2 linked regions of the Pelodiscus sinensis genome follow. The protein of the gene in region 1 purifies or fractionates together with the protein of each later gene. This does not show direct contact. Links are inferred from orthologs where the notes say so. Each region holds a gene or a part of one and is shown on either strand. Other genes may lie near its edges. The genes, in order: DICER1 and protein argonaute-1.

What was found.
Region 2: the proteins of DICER1 (region 1) and protein argonaute-1 purify together in Homo sapiens (co-immunoprecipitation; 7 studies listed by BioGRID and IntAct, with this or other methods). This does not show direct contact. The link is inferred for Pelodiscus sinensis from reciprocal best matches to the Homo sapiens genes DICER1 and AGO1.

Annotation. Positions count from the first base shown.
Region 1 is NC_134714.1:28,334,380-28,343,859, forward strand, and holds the start of DICER1 (endoribonuclease Dicer), read left to right. Parts: upstream 1-5,165; 5' UTR 5,166-5,376; intron 5,377-5,607; exon of another isoform or gene 5,608-5,791; intron 5,792-9,480. UniProt on the Homo sapiens protein: Double-stranded RNA (dsRNA) endoribonuclease playing a central role in short dsRNA-mediated post-transcriptional gene silencing.
Region 2 is NC_134735.1:7,521,129-7,531,518, reverse strand, and holds the start of protein argonaute-1, read right to left. Parts: upstream 4,580-10,390; 5' UTR 4,442-4,579; coding exon 4,417-4,441; intron 1-4,416.

The sequences.
Region 1 (9,480 bases):
AGATCAGAAAACCGAAAAGTATACAGCACCAATAAGTACATTTTGTTTACCAGAGAAACAGAACAATTAATTAAATAATATGTTTTTTTAGGGATGTTAGTGTATAGTCAACTACATCATGTCAACTACACTCATTCCCCTCTTGTTGCCTCTATTTCTAATATAGCTGCATCCAGTCCCTGGGCCTTTGGTTTCCTACCCCTTGCTTACCAGAAGTTAAAAAAAAAAAAGAGCAAAAGTGTTTTTTAGGCACTTCAAACAAAATATATTAATTCTGAATAGATACATGGAGCAGATCCATTGATTGAGGATATGCCATTATGAAAGGTAGAATCATAATTTCAAGAAGTATAGAAAATTGGCAAAGAAATTAGGAATATGCACATTTCATGTGCACTTCACACACTATGGCTGCATGTCCCTTAGCTGTCAGAGTACAGCCCAGTTGCAGTCCAGCTGAAAATTAGATCCTAAGTGACTTGACCAAAGAGTCACAGCAAGTCCAGTGGTAGAACTGAAAATAGAAAGTTGTCGGCTACCCAGCAATTTGCTTGATCCATGAATCTTATTTTCCCAACCAGAGAATTGTGAGTGTATATCAAAGCATGTTGGTATCAACAGCAGAGAACAACAGAGGTCACCATTGTCTTACGGTAAGAAAAATCACTTTTTGAGGATCCATTGTAGAACATTGAGCAGATGCAGAGCCAAAAAGCATACTCCTGGCATGATTCTAAAATTCAGTTGCGTGAGAAAAGCCAAGTACTGGAACAGACTGAGAAAAGGTACAATTTTGAGTATTTCTAGCACACACATGAGGATTTTTTCCCCTGACAGAATAAAAATCACAACTAAATTGCGTGAATTTTGAAATGGAGAAAAAGAAATGTCTCTTTGCCTTACAATCTTTACCACCCAGAATAAGACGTCAATGGTTCTAAATAGCCAAAGCACAGGGAAATCCGATTTTGTGTATGCATGTTTTTTGTTAAAAATTTTAGTCGTCTATTTCTCTTATTCAATCTAATCAACCTATTTGATAATAAGAGCGATAACAACAATATATACTAAAAAGCACAAGTTACAGGATGTTCAGAGAGTTGAAATTCCCTGTTTGCTGTACTTGTTTAGTGTTCTGTATTGCACAGGCTATATCACATATCCTGGCATTAAAATCTGGCATTAAGGAATTTGAAGAAATTATATGAATTTACAGTTAGGGGAAATAAACATTTAAAATCAATTTTATTTACAAAAGCCCACAATCTAAAATATGTGCTTGCAAAATAAAACCAATCAGATTATAAAAGAGGCTAAAATGCACACAGATCCTTACTGTATCATTGCATGAACATTTTCTATATTATTACATGAAATGATTGAGGAAACAATGTGTGGAAATAAAGTGCTCAGAAGTTTTCCTTTGAGTTCTTGGTTCAGATCTTCAGAAGTATTTAGGTGCCTAAATACCCACTGAAATCAGTGCAAGTTAGGTGCCTAAATACCCTTGAGAAGCTGGGCCCTTGTGATTATTTTCCTTTAATAAGCTTTCAGTTTAGATCTTTAGTCCCCCCCAGCTTGCCTTTTAGTTTGCCAGAAACAAATAATCTCTTTAATGGTGGCCTAGAAAGCATTTGTAAGGATTGTTTATCATTTCTGCTACTTCAAAAATTATTACAAATGCGTTATCTTCATTGCTCCAAACATAAGTGGAGAAATAGACCCATGTGTTGTGACAACTCCTGCTGTATAGGACTGAACAGCTGTTCTGTCAGTGGATATTATTATACATCCAACTATGTGAAGTAGAAGGCTGCACCTTGTATGAACTAAAAATACCTAGTTATTTTGTATTGTTTAATAATGGAGACAGTGCACTCAGTGTCAGTCAGGGGTTCACCCATGTGACACAGGTGATAAAACATTTTGCAGCCCATAGTACCTTTAATTTCAAGTTCTCAAAGCCCTTTACAAATATTATATTAAATATGCCTCACAATGCTCCAGTTATGTAGATGAGTATTGTCATACCCATTTGGTAGATGAAGTCACTGAGGCCTAGAGAGATTAAGTCATGCAAGGCCATAGCAAATTACTGGTAGAGCTGGGATAGAACAAATTAGTCAGGATTCCCATGACTAGATTCTCAGCTACAACTGCTTGGCACATCTGGGCAGGAGGATGGTTGGCCACAAGTTGCTTTTACCCCCACCTTTCTGCTCCCTTATTTCTTGACTGGACAACAGGAAGCTGCTTTAGCTCCTGGCACAAGTTGCAAAGGTCCCCTAGGCATTGTTTGGCTGGTTCAGGATCTTCAAGTACAGCATCCGAACCCAACCACTATACCAGGGAGGATGCCAAAAGTGAGTAGTATGGAGCCAGTGACATGTCTTTATGCTACCCAAGGAATCTTCAACACAAGAACAACTGTATACTCAGCTGGTTGTTGCATCTCTATACACTTAGCAAGCTGAAACAGGGGTAGAGGGAATGGAACAAGGCCACCATAGGATCTAACCACTACTATTTTGCTACAAATAGACCATATTCTAGCACACTTATCTATGACTTTCACATAATTATGTATCTACATGCCCCTCACCACTATGGTGTGTGAGTACCATCCATGTTTTTAAAAAGGAAATAATATTAGTTCTCTTTCTCCCTGACCAGCCTGTAGGAGAAATAGTCTGCTTACTTAAAGAGGTTTTGTTTGTGTATACACAAATGGATGAGTGAAGAACTTACGGAGGAAAAAATCAAGTAGGAAAAAAAAGTGTTACATTTAGTTCTTAAAGTGTGGGAGAGCTCATTTCACATCAGAGTGAATTCCATAGTCTAAATCCAAGTGTTGTGCTAGTTCTGTCACCCCTGCTCAAAGGCCTCCTCTTAAAGTAACTCTGAGCTTGTCTCAGTGCAAATGCCTTAACAGCATAGCTATCCAATTAGAGCTATACCACCAAAGCTCCCTAGTGGAGATGTAACTTATACTGACTAATGTGCTGGCATAATTAATCCACTTCCCCAAAGTTCATAGGTGCTATGACAGGCATTCCACATTCTTTATGAGGGGGAAATGCTGATGAATATGACATAACTGGAATAAGCTTTATTCAAGATACTTTATGAGAGATATCATTGGTTGTATCCACAAAAGCTCATGATACCATCTACATGTTTTGTTAGTCTTTAAAGTGCTGCTAGACTATTCGTTGTTTTTTAAGTTTTTCCAGTTACAGACTAACTCGGCTACCCCTCTGAAATCATTGGGAAGGTTTGGATTTATTGAATATATTTAGCCTATTCATATGCAGGGTATCTCTTCTGTATCAGAACTTAGGAATATTGACTGTAAATTTATTATCAGTGTGTTCACGTTGGGAAAAGCCTGTTACAGCCAAGTACAACAATTAAGAAGAAGCCAAACACAGACCTAATGGCCTGTTAGTAAGAGACTATGAACTGTGGGAGACCTTGCTTTTCTTCTAAGCATAAGGATCAGCCTGTAAGAAATGACTACTGGCTCTGAAACACCTGTGATCTGATGCTAGAATAGCATATATAAATAATTGTTACCCAGGGGCGAGGAGTATGTGCATATCTCTTTTTACATTGAGAAAGGGTGTGTCTACACAGCACCTTAAACTCAAAATAAGATACGCAATTTGCACTATGCAAATTGCGTATCTTATCTCAAATCTATTTTGAAAGACTTTATTTCGATATTTGGCACGTCTACACAGCACCAAATTTCAAAATAACATGCTATTTCAAGCCATCCTTTATCCCTTGTTCAATTAGGTTGATCAGGATGGTGAAATAGCACACCTGTTAAAAATATTTTGAAATAACAGATGGCTTATGTAGATGCAGGATAGCTATTTTGGGATACTTGTGGTATCCCAAAATAGCCATGCAGTGTAGACAAACCCAAAGAGAGGCATTTTCATGAGCTTGTACTGTATAGCTATCTATACAACATAAATCAGATTTTTCTAGGATTAGCTCCCAGAGGAGATGTTTACTTGACTTCTGGGAAAAGGACTCACTCTGTGCTGCTTTCAGGTGTATCTGCAGCCTTCATGGTGTGGCCTTATCCTTGTGTTTTGTTTGACGCAAGCTGGAGAGGTAGGCTCAACAAGACAGGGCTCCAGGGTGCCCAGGCTGTCAGGAGAAGCAGGCTCAGTGTTGTCTTGGCACATACCTGCATCCATATGTAGGCTTTTGCTGGCACAGCAATGTTGGTTGGAGTGTGTGAGTTTTCTTCATGCTCCTGGCCAACAAAGTTATGCCAAAAAAACTTGTGTGGACCAGGCCTTTTGTGAGAGATCAGAGTTGGAGAAAGAACTCCTCCCTCAAGTAGGTAGGGCCAATTCCATGGGGAGTTTTAAACTGGGATACAGATTTTGAACTGAATTGTATGTTGAGTAGAGAATCATTAACACCATAGAACTATTTCATCCTCCTTCAAATCCTTCCTAAAAACTCTAATTTGCTGTGATGCCTACAAAAAACTTGGCATAATTGTTAGTCTGGTGGTTTGCTGACCCAGAGGGAGGGAACACAACAGGTAATTGTCAAGTGATCTCTCTCCTGTCACCCATTTCCAGCCTCTCACAAACAGAGGCTAGGGACACCATTCCTATCCATCCTAGCCATTGATGGTAATCTCCATGAATTTATCTAGGTGTTTTAAATTTGATCATTTGAAGATTACCCGTTCTGTTCATTCCCTCTAGAGCACCTGTCATTGGCCACTATTGGAAAACAGCATATTGGGCTAGATGGAGCCTTGTTCTGACCCAGTATGGCTGTTCTCATGTTCCAGCACAAGCTCCTACCCCTACCCCCTCCCTGAGGCCGCCTCTGCACCCCTTCACCCCCAGCCCCACCCCAAAGCCTTCATCACCTGCACTTCTGCCTCTTGCCCCACCCTAAAACCCTTACTCCCTCCTGCATCTTGAATCCCTCAGGCCCACCCCTCAGCCTGGCGCTCCCTACTGCACAGCAAACCCTTCATCCCTTTCCCCACTCCAGAGCCCAGCTGGTGCCCTCAGCATCTCCCGCCCCCGCCCCGCGAAAGGAGGGAGGGGGGGGCTTGTGGGGGGAGGCGGGGCCGCGGGCGAAAGGCGGAGCCAGGATGTTGGGGGCACCAATAGAAAGTTGGCAACCCTAGAGCTGGGTATCCTCCCCCTCCGCCACCTGAGCTGGGAGGTGAGCGGGGAATCGGCTCCTGAAACTCGCCCCCCGCCGGAAGAGGCGTCTGCGTGCGGTATCTCCCGCCTGTGCGGAGCGAGGGCGCCTGCGTGCGACACCATCGCCCCGGGGCGCGCCACGCAGGGTTCAGCAGGGAATAGAGAGGACGAAGCAACACACGTGAGTCCGTGGAAGGCTCCTGCCGTCCCAAGCGTTTGCTGTCTCCTGTCAGCTGATTGGCCATCCTGTAAACCCTTGACCTCTGACCCCCTTTTTACTCCAATCGCCTCACTCCTCTCATGGGCTGGGGAGAGTGGAGGGTGTGAGCTGTGGGGGTTGGCATTCTCAGAGCGGCTGTACGCTGCTTGCGTTGGGCGGTCCTGTGGTGGTGGGTGGAGGGCGCGGGGTGGTGCTCTGTTTGCGTAGGGCCGGCCTCGCACGGGGAAGGGAGGGTAGGAGGCTGTCCCGGGCCCAGGTGAATGGAGGAACCTGACAGCTGGGGGGAGTGAGGCCGCGGCGGGGAAATGGCGGCGGGAGCAGCACAATGAGACGCGGCCTGTAGCGGGGAAGCGCTGGTCTGGGTCCAGCTCGGCAGGTAGGAGGCGGCGGGCGGCTCTGGCGTGTGCCTGGGCCGGTGGCTTCATGGCGGGGCCGGGCACCCAGCGGCGGGGCCGGGCAGCTTGTGCCACCGCCCGCTCTGGACATGTGCGCGGCTCGGCCCCTTTGGCGCCCGGCTGAGCCTCCCCTCGCTCCCAAGGCCTGGTTCACCTGTGCGCAGCCCCCGCCTGGCCCTGCCTGCCGGGGCCTAGCCACCCCCGTTGCCGCCATGCCCATGGACCCGGCTCAGCGGCGCCCAAGGCGAAGGGTCTCCGACGGGGGCCTGCGTCTCAGCCCTTCTCGCTGGCTTTGTCTTCTCTCTCTCCCCGGGCCTGCTGAGGAGCCCCGTCCCCACGCATCCCTGCCTCCCTCAGACCACAGCTGGGATTCCCGGGAGTTGCTTCCCCAGCGCCAATGAGAGACCCGTTATTAAAGGGGTGAAGGGCTTTTGATGCGGGTGTGGAGGGGTGTAGTTCTAACTGATAAATGTTACTCCTGGAGAGTTTTTAAGGATCGCTTCTCTCTCTCCTTCACCACCTCCCCTAGCTGAAACTAGCGGGGGCACTGCATGCCGTAAATATACAGTGAGAACATTACAAGATCCTCCCCCATAACCTGTATGAAAAATATTGCAAAGTCCAAGTGGCACATTAAAGCATTTACGTTGTGCTCCATGCTATAGAAAAGAAAGTGCTGCAATAGGGGAAAAAAAGTGGGTCATATATTGATACAAACCTGAAACAAACTCTTGCATTTCTTTGTGTATTGATTTTGTTCCTGAGATAACAGGCCTTTGGGAGAAGATAGCTTGTTGATGGGGTTAAGTCTTGGCCACTGAAAACTTAGAACATCCTATACACTTGGGCTGTGTCTACATTGGCAAGATTTTGCACAAAAGTGGCCGCTTTTGTGCAAAATCTTGCTGCCTGTCTACACTGGCCACGAGTATTTGCACAAGAACACTGATGTTGTAATGTACAAAATCAGGGCTTCTTGCACAAATACTCTGACGTTTCTGCTCAGGCAATGTTAATTTCTTGCGCAAGAAAGCCCGATGGCTAAAATAGCCATTGGAGCTTTCTTGCACAAGAGAGCGTCTACACTGGCACGGATGCTTTTGCACAAAAGCTCATGTCAGTGTAGATGCTCTCTTGTGCAAATACTTTTAACGGAAGAGTTTTTCCCCAATAAAAGTATTTGCGCTAAATCATGCCAGTGTAGACGTAGCCTTAATATTATCAGTTCTGTTTTTTAAGCAGCAAATGATTGCTTAAGCAAGATGGCCATGAATTCCACTAGTGAGAAAGGGAGAGCCTGCCTATTTAGTTTACAAATCTAGAGATCTCATGTGAAAACACTTTGATGTATATCTTTAGTTAACTAATCAGTGTGTGTTTAGTAATGCTTATTCTTCTCCTGTTGTCCTGTGTCTTGTTTAGACTGTAAATTCATTGGGAGGTTCATTCTTTTATTTGTGAAGTGCTATATACAGAAGCAGAGTTGCATATATATTTTTAACAACTCTGGTCTTTTAATGGTTTGATATAGGTACAAACTCAATCCCCATGTATCTTAATATTTTTCTAAAGGGAAGGCCTTTCCATGCTAGCTCATATCTTGTGGGGTCACAATCTGTAGTATTTAATGAAAAATATTAAAATGCTCCTTTTTAGTCCTAAGCAGCTCACCTAGAAAATAGTGGTGTATTTCTCCTGTTCCTACCCTTTTAATACAAGTAGATAGTGGTTATGGCTACAATTGTGTAATGGATATTTTTTGGTAAAAATCAGGGTCAGGTCATCTACTATTGAGAGTTAGTCTGTTTGTTCAAGAACTCCTCCTAAATGATAAGAGCTAGAAGGGCAATCAAATTCAGTATACAGCTTCCTCTTTATTATAACTTAAAGCAATGTAAGGCTTTGTTGTGCCTGGACTGGGATTGCTTCTCATAAAGCCATATAGAAAAGAGACAGAATCACCACACAGGTGAAAAGTGCTGGCTGGCAGCAATCAGCAATCCTCCTGAATTCCTCCCCTCCCATGTAGGATTGCTCCAACCCTGAGCCTCCTGCCCCCAGATGCCCCCACCAGTTAGTACAGGGATATTGCTGGCCTTTCCCCTTCATCAGGAAACAAGATGAAAATTCACAGTTTGCTGTATTTCTCACTCATGGGTAGTGCTGGAGGGACAGGCAAGCTAAGCTGTGGACTTTGCTCTCACTCTCTGACAGGGACAGAAAAAGGAAGAGCAAGCAGCTCTGGTATGAATTGGGGAAGAAGGGGAGGCTGGCTTTGCCCCTTTTCTGTGTGTGGGTATGTCTAGACTGCATCCTCTGTCAGAGGGATGCAGATTAGGCAGGTTGACATTGCAAATGAGGCAGGGATTTAAATACAGGCAGTCCCCGACTTACGCGGATCTGACTTATGTCGGATCCGCACTTACGAACGGGGCTTTTCTCGCCCCGGAGCTCACGGGCGGCGGGTCGCCACCCGTGTCCTCTGGGGTGAGAAAAGCTTCTCCCGGTCTCCCTGGTCTGCTGGGAGGGTCCAGCAAAGCCGCTGGACCCCCCTCCCCCCCCAGCAGACCAGGGGGACAGGAGCAAAGCTGCCCAGGTGGCGGTTTTGCTCGGGTGTCCCTGGTCTGCTGGGGGGGGTCCAGCGGCTTTGCTGGACCTCTCCAGCAGACCAGGGAGACAGGAGCAAAGCCACACGGGCGGAGGGGTCCCCTCCGCCTGTGCGGCTTTGCTCGGGTCTCCCTGGTGTGCTGGGAGGGACTCCCCCTAGCACCCCAGGGAGACAGGGGTGCGCTCCCCACCCAGCAGACCAGGTTTTTGTTGCGGGATGCCTCGGGTAGAGCAGCTGGGGTGCTGCCGGGTTGGTCCTGTGGGAACCTACCGGGCAGCGCCCCAGCTGTTCTGTCCCAGGCTCCAGATTCAGCAGCTGTTGAAACTGATCAGGCTGATTCCAGGAAGCTGGGGCAGAGCAACTCTGCCTCCGGCTTACTGTAGTCAGCCCCTGGTCAGTTTCAGCGGCAGCAGCTGAATCTGGAGCCAGTTCTGACTTACATGCAAATTCAACTTAAGAACAAACCTATAGTCCCTATCTTGTACGTAACCCGGGGACTGCCTGTATCCTGTGCCTAATTTGCATAAAAGTGGCTACCACATTTTGCCGAATCAGCACTTTGTCGGCAAAAAGCGGCAGTTTGGAGGGGGATCTGTCGAGAAAGAAAGCCTTTTTCGACAGATCCCTTATGCCTCCTGCAAGGAGGTTTACGGGATCTGTCGAAAAAGGCTTTCTTTCTCGACAGATCCCCCTCTAGAGTGCCACTTCTTGCTGACAAAGTGCTAAGTTGGCAAAACATGGTGGCCATTTTTATGCAAATTAGGCACGGGATATTTAAATCCCTGCTTCATTTGCAATGTCGACCTGCCTAATCTGCATCTCTCTGCTGCCAGAGGGATGCAATCTAGACACACCCTGTGTGTATATATACACGCACAGTTCCCTGCCCTGCACAGTTCCTATACGTCCCCCACCTCCTGGCCTGAGCCCATCCTCACTAGGGGATGTAATAGTGTAGTCAAGTAACTGATAAGCAAAAGCTTATCGATTAATGCTATAGACTACACGCATCCCCCCTCCCCAGGCCAGTACATATTTTTAGCAGGGTAGCCAGCAGCTTTG
Region 2 (10,390 bases), on another chromosome or scaffold:
TGTGACGGAAGAGGGCATCATTATTCTTAGTGCATAGATTAGAAATCAGAGGGACAGAGAAATTAAGTGCTCATCCAAGGTCACACCGCACAGTAGGGTAAAATCAGGAACAGAACCCAGCTTCCTACTTTAACCTAACATCCTAGAGATGTTAAACTTATCTGGTGAGCGTTCCAGTAAACATGGGGCTTACTAGCATGCTTGCTGGTGAATTCCCCTGCCACTCAGCTGCGCAGGCCAGAGCATCCCCAGCCATGGAGGGGCTGGCTGGCCCGCTGTGGCAGAGTCAGGCAGCGGATTGGGTAGCAGGCCCTATAATATTCCTATCCTTGTCAGAATGCTAATAAATCAGTGTGAAGTATTAGCTTCTAGGTATCAATATACAGAGGAGATATTTCCTCATGACACTAAAAACACCCACGTTATAATTTAGGCTTTGATGTGTTCAAGTTAAATCAGTTTGCTTCAGAATCAAGCCAACTCCAAAGCTCATCAGATTAGTTTCAAAGAGCTTTATAAAAGCCAATGTTCTAGCATCACTACTGATTTTCTTCTCTCCACCCACCGCCCTTTAGACTGTAACGTTTTGTAGGAAATTAAAGCAGCACATTTGAGATTACAATAAAAACATCCAAGGAAGCCATGCTAACGAGAATTAAATGAGCGGCTGCAACAAAAAATGGCAGTTTAAAGGATGTTTGGAGGGCTCTGGCAGGATAGGGTCAGGCAGTTTTAAAATCAAGCAGCCAAGGACAGGACAATACCAGACACATTGTTAGCCAGTCACATTGTTTAACAGGGTGTGCTGGGGAGAAGCAATGATGAGGGCACTAGAATGAATCTCTTTAGCAACAGTCGCTGCCTCCCCTCTCCAGCTGTCAGGCGTGCAAAGGAAGCCCAGACTTTGCGCATGCCCCAAGCACAGAGGCAGAAACCACTTCATTCTGTCACAAGAAAACGGCAGCTACTGACTGTTGTGTCCAAACAAGAGCGCGCCAGCACTCCTGCTCCAGGAGCAAGCCCGATCCGCTGTCTCTTACCCTAACGTCTCTCCTGCACTCATGTGAGGTGAAGGGGACAGACAGAAACAGGAGATTTTGCCTCCACTCTCTAACCTGGAAATAAAAGCCATTTGCTGGGATTTGAGATATAAAAAGAGTCTTTGGAAGTCCAGGACCTTCGAAGCAGGATTCATCTATTCACACCATGCTCCGCAAGGACATGCACCTGCTGCTCAACTCAACAGCCCTTCATCCCGCCCCTTGCAGCTGCCTCTGTTCCCCAGGTCCCCTCCCCCCACTCAGCCTCTTGTAGGAACCTGCTGCCTCCCACCACCATCCTGATGGGGCTTGAGGCTCCATTATGCAGCAGTCCACTTCCTTTGCAACCAGCGCCTTGCACAACCTTGTTCCAGTTGGCAATCCACCCCCAGAAGCCCTCTCTGTTTTGTACAGCACCCGCCCAGCCTTCTTCACTACAGGGCAGCCCAAGCAATAGCTCTCTTTCCATGCTTCCTCTCTCTGGAGCCGTTGGATATTCTGATTTCTTTAAAGAGTCTTCTCCTTTTCACAACCCCACAATGCAAAGCTGCTACCCCATCGCTGCCTCAACAACACATGACACCCGCTCCTATAAATGCTCAACCCCCGAGGTTCCTCCCTTACAACACCCCCACGCTCAATCCTTCGTGCACAACACTCTTCCTTGACACCCCCATCTTCCCACATGACACCCTTCTCCGGCTGCTGAGCCTCCTTCTTACAATACACAGCACTGTACAAACACCAATACAGAGCCTTCTTGGCCACCAACTTCCCAGAACCCCCACCACAATACAGTCTTCCATACAGGAGTGAGTCCCCCTACACTTACAGTGCACCAATACCTCTCTCTCCCCTTCCCTCTCCACTGCTCAGCCCTCCTGGACCCCACCTCACAGACCCCAAACCTACAAACGTACAGCCCCCATCTCTCTCAAATCCCCCCATTGCACATGCCCCGCCGTAATTTATAGCCTTCCTTCCCCACTGCACAGTCCTCCTGGAGCTCACACTGCAGACCGCCTGCCCCATACTGCATCAACAGCTCCTCCACCCCTCTGCACAGCCTCTCGCCCCGACTACAGCCCCTAGGTACACACTGCACCAACTCCCCTTCTTCTTTCACACCATCACTGTATAGCCCAGACATCCACAATACCAAGTCTCCTGTCCTCCCCTACACAGGACCTCCCCCCCCCACTTCTCTTCATTTCAACCCCAGACCACCATACTGCACACATTCCCCTTCTCCTTTTGTAACCCCACAGACCCCCATCCCAATATTGCACCAATTTCCTTCTTTTCTTTTGTGCAGCCTCTCCCCCATCCCCATACTGAACTTCCCATTTCACAATCCCCCCAGTGCACCACATGCCTTTCCCAGTGTACCATGTGCACAGTTCCTCCCCCATCACATTGTACCAGCTCGCCTGCCCAGAGCACCCCACTGCACAGTCCCATCACCCCACTTAAGCCCCAATGCAGCCCCTTACAGCCCACCTTGCTCAACTCTCTTGCACACCACTGCACAGGCCCATCACACCACTGCAGCCACTTTGCAACCCACTGCACAGCCACATCATCCCAATGCAATCGCTTTGTACACCACTGCACAGCCCCACCATACCCAGTTCAGGTCCACTGCACAGCCCTCCTTTACACAACTCTATCACCCCACTTCAGCCCCAGTGCAGCCCCCTTGCTCAGATCTCTTGCCCCCTTGAGCCCCACTACACAACCACATCACTCCACTGCAGCCCCTTTGTACCCCTCTGTGCAGCCCCATCACCCCACTGCACAGTCCCCTTGCTCCTTGGACCCAACTGCAGCTCCTTTGTATACCCACTTCAGCCCCACTGCACAGCCCCCCTTGCTCAGCTCTCTTGCAACCCACTGCACAGTCCCCTTGCTCAGCTCCCCTGCCCCCTTACATCCCACTGCAACCCCATCACCCCACTGCACAGCCCCATCATCCTAGTGCACAGCCCTCTTGCCCCCCACTGCAGCCCCTTTGCATCCCACTGTATAGCCCCCCCTTTGCTCAGCTCTCTTACGCCCTGACAGCCCCATTACCCACTGCTCAGCCCCCTTGCCCCTCACTACAGCCCCTTTGCAACCCACTGCACAGCCCCCCCTGCTCAGCCCCCTTGCGCCCCACTGCACAGCCCCATCACCCCACTGCACAGCCCCCTTGCCCCTCACTGCAGCCCCTTTGCATCCCACTGCACAGCCCCCTTGCACCTCACTGCACAGCCCCTTTGCATCCCACTGCACAGCCCCCCCGCTCAGCCCCCTTATGCCCCACTGCACAGCCCCATCACCCCACTGCACAGCCCCCTTGCACCTCACTGCAGCCCCTTTGCATCCCACTGCACAGCCCCCTTGTGCCCCACTGCAGCCCCTTTGCATCCCACTGCACAGCCCCCCCGCTCAGCCCCCTTGCGCCCCACTGCACAGCCCCATCACCCCACTGCACAGCCCCCTTGTGCCCCACTGCAGCCCCTTTGCATCCCACTGCACAGCCCCCCCGCTCAGCCCCCTTGCGCCCCACTGCACAGCCCCCTTGCACCTCACTGCAGCCCCTTTGCATCCCACTGCACAGCCCCCCCGCTCAGCCCCCTTGCGCCCCACTGCACAGCCCCATCACCCCACTGCACAGCCCCCTTGCACCTCACTGCAGCCCCTTTGCAACCCACTGCACAGCCCCCCCGCTCAGCCCCCTTGCGCCCCACTGCACAGCCCCATCACCCCACTGCACAGCCCCCTTGCCCCTCACTGCAGCCCCTTTGCATCCCACTGCACAGCCCCCTTGTGCCCCACTGCAGCCCCTTTGCATCCCACTGCACAGCCCCCCCGCTCAGCCCCCTTGCGCCCCACTGCACAGCCCCATCACCCCACTGCACAGCCCCCTTGTGCCCCACTGCAGCCCCTTTGCATCCCACTGCACAGCCCCCCCGCTCAGCCCCCTTGCGCCCCACTGCACAGCCCCCTTGCACCTCACTGCAGCCCCTTTGCATCCCACTGCACAGCCCCCCCGCTCAGCCCCCTTGCGCCCCACTGCACAGCCCCATCACCCCACTGCACAGCCCCCTTGCACCTCACTGCAGCCCCTTTGCAACCCACTGCACAGCCCCCCCGCTCAGCCCCCTTGCGCCCCACTGCACAGCCCCATCACCCCACTGCACAGCCCCCTTGCCCCTCACTGCAGCCCCTTTGCAACCCACTGCACAGCCCCCCCGCTCAGCCCCCTTGCGCCCCACTGCACAGCCCCATCACCCCACTGCACAGCCCCCTTGTGCCCCACTGCAGCCCCTTTGCATCCCACTGCACAGCCCCCCCTTGCTCAGCCCGCAGAGCCCAGTCCCCGCTCCGCTACCTGCTCCCGAGGGTCCTGCTTCCATCCCATCCACGCGGGCACGGCTCCGGGCTGGGCTCACCGCGGGGGGGGGGGGGGGGCCGGGCGCTGCTCCCTCCGCCTCCCGCTGCTGCTGCTGCTGCGGCCGCCGCAGCCTCTGGGCAGCCTCCTCCCCGCCTGGGCCCCAGTGCGCAGGCGCGGCCGCCGGGCCAACCAGCGCCGACGCGAGCGCCCGGCCCCAGCGCCAACAAAGGCGGCGGGGCGGGGACAGCGCCCCCTGGCGGGGCGGCAGCCCTCCGAGGGCCTGGAGAGCGGATGCAGAGCGCCGCCATCTTGGATCCAGAGCGAGACTGGGCAGTTGTCCTGGAGGGGATGATGGGGGGTGGGGCAAAGGGAGTGGGTGCTGGCTGTGCATTGGGGGGGGGCGCTCTTGTGCAATGGGGGGGGGGCTAAGGGAGGAATTGCTGGCTGTGCAATGGGGGGCTAAGAGGAGGTGCTCTTGTGCAATGGGGGGGCTAAGGGAGGAAATGCTGGCTGTGCAATGGGGGGGCTAAGAGGAGGTGCTCTTGTGCAAAGGGGGGCTAAGGGAGGAAATGCTGCCTGTGCAATGGGGGCTAAGAGGAGGTGCTCTTGTGCAAAGGGGGGCTAAGGGAGGAAATGCTGCCTGTGCAATGGGGGGCTAAGAGGAGGTGCTCTTGTGCAAAGGGGGGCTAAGGGAGGAAATGCTGGCTTTGCAGTGGGGGCTAAGAGGGAATGCTGTTGTGCAATGGGGGGCTAGAGGAAGGAGTGCTGGGGTGCAGTGGGTGGTTGGGGGAGGGCTGCGCAGTTGGGGTGCAGGAGCACTGCTGCCTGTGCAATGGGAAAGGAGAGGAGAGTGGGACCTGGCCCGGGCAAGATTGTTGGCTGTACAGTTGTCAGGGGGTGGTGGTACAATGGGCAGATGGGCTTGGGGCGGGAGGAGAATTGTGCAAGGAGATGAGGTGAGATGGTGAACCTGGCAGGAGTGGGTGCCTGTTGCAAAAAGGGAGGAGAAAGATGCAGTCCTTCCCTACGATGGAAGTGTGACCTAGGGCAAAGGATGGAGACTCGCCTTGGTAGGAGGAGGAACTGAAACCCAGCACTGTGAGGGAAGCGTTTGGAAATGAAGGGAACAGAGTGGCAATAGTACGGGCATTGGTGGTGGCAGTGGCACAGATTGGTTTGTTCGCATCAAAAGAAGTTGAGAACATGGAGGAAGCATGGCAGGGCTGGCACAGTGCCAGCTCTCCTCATGCAATTTACTCACACACCAGGAATCAAGAATGTATCCAGTGCCACAAGAACAATGAGGCTGATCGGTTCCTTTGAAGTGCAAAATGCCCTCTTCCGAAGCGAATTTGACCCTTTAGATTTGGCCCTTAAATTATATTTGGGTAAAAAAAGCTTTTATAAAACTCAAGCCCAATAAATATGTTTCCACAATTCGGTTTTAATGCCAATAAAATAGCAATGGGGAGCTAAGAGAGGGGGTGCTGGCTGTGCAAGAGGCATTCTTCTGCAGTGTCAACACTCTTGGCATGGCAGTACTGTGAGCCTGAAAGTGAAACTGATCATAAGCCATGAAATTGACTTCATAGTCCAACCACAGAAGAAAGCAGGAAGTTAAACAAAGAGCATAAACCCTGACAAGGCAATTGGATTTTCAAAATCCTTCCAATTTTATTTAGGGATGTAAAATCCCATTTAAAAAGTTAACCAGCTAAACATTAAGTTTAACCTGATTACTGGGATCCCACAGACAGGGGGCCCACTGCGCTGCAGGCTGCTCTGGTCAAGTAAGATGCTGTGCTGCAGGCAGGGGTTGCTCAGGTCGGGCCCAGCTGCCAGTTAACCACTTCCCCAGTAAGCATCAGGGTGATGGCAAGTTAACCAATTAACCCTTTACATACCTACTTTTATTAATCTAGTATGGTTATACCTTGAGTGCTGATCCTTATGTATGTGCTGAACATAGGCTATTCCCATGGATAACCTAATGTGTCCAAGTGTTTGCAGGATCAGAGCCATAGCTAAAGAAATGTTTACCACCTAAGATTTAAGTTGTCAGTATCCTTTTAACACTCAGATAAATGTGCAAATTCCACATACACCAATTGCCATTTAGCTTGAGAATGAGGTAGAGAAACAGCTCAAAAGGTCGCCTCTGCCTCTCCTCCTCTGCAAACCCTGCCTGTCTGAAAACCACCACATACTGAGTCTTCAAGCAGTAGGGGTGCTCATGATTATCTTTGCTCTAGTGGGAAGGCCAAATTCAATACAAAACAGAATAAAAATGGAACTAAGGTAGATGCAACACAGTGAATCTAGAAGGATGTGAAAGAACTTTACAGTAACATAAGAACATAAGAACGGCCGTACTGGGTCAGACCAAAGGTCCATCTAGCCCAGTATCCTGTTTACCGACAGTGGCCAGCACCAGGTACCTCAGAGAGGGTTGACCGAAGACAATGATCAAGCGATTTGTCTCCTGCCATCCCTCTCCAGCCTCTGACAAACAGAGGCCAAGGACACCATTTTATCCCCTGGCTAATAGCCTTTTATGGACCTAACCTCCATGAATTTATCCAGCTTCTCTTTAAACTCTATTATAGTCCTAGCCTTCACCACCTCCTCTGGCAAGGAGTTCCACAGGTTGACAACACGCTGTGTGAAGAAGAACTTCCTTTTATTCGTTTTAAACCTGCTACCCATTAATTTCATTTGGTGTCCTCTAGTTCTTCTATTATGGGAACTAATAAATAACTTTTCTTTATCAGCCCTCTCCACACCACTCATGATTTTATAGACCGCTATCATATCCCCCCTCAGTCTCCTCTTTTCTAAACTGAAAAGTCCCAGTCTCTTTAGCCTCTCCTCTTAACTTTGCATAATATATAAAGGTTGTTCTAAGGAATTCAGATAAGCACTTTCCTTAGACTCTCTGTACCTTTCATCAGAGCATCATCCAATAAAAAATAAATGTTTTAACAACTAAGTTATCCCTGGCTGAGCCAGATTGGAACACTTTAGATTTCCTAGTAGGTTCATGGGGAGACACATGGCAGGGTATTTTTGGAGAGTCATTGTTCTGTGCCAGGCGAATGAGTAAACAGTAGGGGACGATTGAATTTATTAGCACTTTTATTGTTTTAAGTTTGATTCTTTATGCAACTTGTTGGCAGATGGGAAGGAGAAATTGGTGTATTTGACATTAGGGGTGTTTGGTAGTGCTGTGTTAGAAGCACCCCCTTGTGGTTATGGGTAATGTGTAAAGACAGCTACACAAAGAAAAGATCCACAGCATTACAATGCCTTGGAAGGGAAATGGGATCTAGGAATATAGGGGTCAGTGAAAGTGTTTGGTTTAGCTGTACACTAGGGCACCCACCTTACCCCATTCCTATGGCCCAGGGCGTAACCTACCGGGTTGTTGGGTCCTTTACTAGTGAAAGAGCCTTACACATATATCTGTAACCTCTATTTATTAAACAATCCCCAAGACAGAATGCCCACGCCGAACATACAACGCACACCACTCCCAATAAGCCAGATGAACTTTTCCTGCTGGACATCCAGGATCCTGTCATCCAGTGACTGCAGCTTCTGCACAACAGAGTGGGCACAGGTTTGAGGTCTGGCAGCTCTGATCTTTGGCTGTGTCCTGGGGTTGGTTCCAATGAACTTCCTTTTGGAAATTCCATCCCTGCTATTATTGACATACTCACTCTGCAGGGAATGTGACTTGTGTGGGTGACACTGAAATGGGGGTTTTTCCCCCTAGACAGCTGAATCATCCCTCAATACCAAGGATCAGAATCTTTCACCGGGGCCATAACATTATTGCCTTAGCATTTATATTGCTGTAATGCCAGGCATCTCTCTGAAAGCATATTCCAGGAAGCCATGTGTGACTAAAAAAAGTAACCTTCACATCCCAGTTTTCTTTCACACTCAGTTCTCAGATTAACAGTGTAATGAGCAGAAGCTAATTGAATTGAAAATGCCATTGCAGAGCAAGGAACTGGGCAGCAGGACTCCTGGATTCCATTCTTGGCTCTACCAATGACTTACCACGAAATACACCTTTGTGTCTCGGTTTCACCCTCTCTGGAACCTGTTCCTTAATACTCAGGGTATGTCTACACTACAGAGTTTTGTTGGGAAAATGGCTGTTTTTCCAACAAAATCTGAGTTACATCCACACTGCAATCGCATTCTTCTGAAAGTAAATCAAAAGAACAGAGGGGTTTTTCTGGCGTTGGTAAATCTCTTTCTACAAGGAAGAAGCCTCTTTCCGAAAAGAACTCTTTCGGAAAGAGGTGGGTGTGGACGGGGAAGAAGGAGTTCTTTTGCAAGAAGAGGAAAGAGGAAAAAGCACAGGTGCCCTGGTGGCCACTCCATTCATAGTAATCACAGCTTAAATGCAAGAGAGTGTCCATTCAGTGTGGACACTATCTTTTGAAAAAGGAGATCGCTTTTTCAATGTGCTTTTATGTGTGGATGCTGTCTTTTGGAAGAAGTTTTTTTGGAAGGTCTGCTTTCATTTATGCTTAAACCTTGGGGCTCCTCCTAGAACAAAGGAGATTGACTGTGGCGTCATTCTAACCCTACTTATCATTAACCTTCCCATAGGAGGCTGGAGCAGAGGCACTGACAATAGTTAACTGTACATGCCAAATTAATGTAAATTACATGATCATGAGGGTGCCATTTGATTATATAAGCAGCGCTTTAAGTATTAGGGTTGTTAAAATGCATTAATTTTGATAAATGCATCCCCGCTGAAATTTTCAGTGGATACACATTTATATGCAAGGGGAAAGAGATGCAGCTCCACAGGAGCTGGTACATGCGGGGAGCCAGCTTTTAAGCCAGCTTCCTGTGTGTACCAGCTCCTGCGGAGCCACCTGCCTCCATTGAGGAGGCTGGGGGGGAAGAGGCAGCAGCGCAGCATGGGGGCAGGCAGGTGGCTCCGCTGGTGTTGGTGTTTGCAGGGAGCCTGCTTAAAAGCCAGCTCTTCACAAGCACCTCCCCCCTCCCCATGCCACTGCACGTAACAGTTAAACGTTTACACTATCACATCCTTAATATATATATAACAGTTGACCCTCTGCTAAATCCTAAAACTGGCATCCAGTGTCCCTTGAGAGGATTCTAGTGCTGGTAGATCCAGTTTTCTGAAGATGCACCATTATCTTCTTGTTGTGGCACTTCCTGGATTTATTATTCAACAGCAGTGAAAAAACTGTAGCCTAAATAAAAGACAAAGTCAGTAACCACGATAAGACAGCAACCGTGACGGGGGTTAATAATGACCGACCCAAATAATTTTTGTTTGGCTGTTGCAATACAACTAGTGGGTCACCTGCAGATGTTTCATTTATTTTGGGGTGTCCACAAAAGGACAGCAAATTGAGGGCAAGACCGTTAGTATTAAATGGTAAGACAGAAAGAAGGGCAAGAAACAATGGAAGTAGACACAGCTCGCGGGAACCTACCAAGCAGATGCAGACTTAATATTGACAGCGAAGGAAGAGGTTCATTTCCTCTGAAGGGTAATCGTGCCAGACAGAGCTGCCTTTGCCACGGGCAGTGGTGACATCAGCATCATTGGCAGGAAGGGTTCAGTTAACTAGACATGCTGTCAAGTCTGCTCTGTGTCATTGGATTTCTCCAGCACCCTCTCTGCTTCCTATTTCCATCAATCCTACCTACGCAGACCCAGGGAATGCAGAAGGGGGTCTGCTGGAATTCTCTGCACATTTGGGACGCTGGCATCTCACAAACCTGCTGCTACTCACATGACAAGAGCTGGGCTCTAAATTCTAACTTCAGGACAGACGTAAAATCCATTATGGAACAGAACCAGCCACAGGACAGAGGCCAAGATCCTAAAAGACATTTAGACGCCAATCTCCCCCTCCCCCCCCAAAAAAACAAAACACCCCACACTGGTAGTTCAGTACCTCAATTCCTT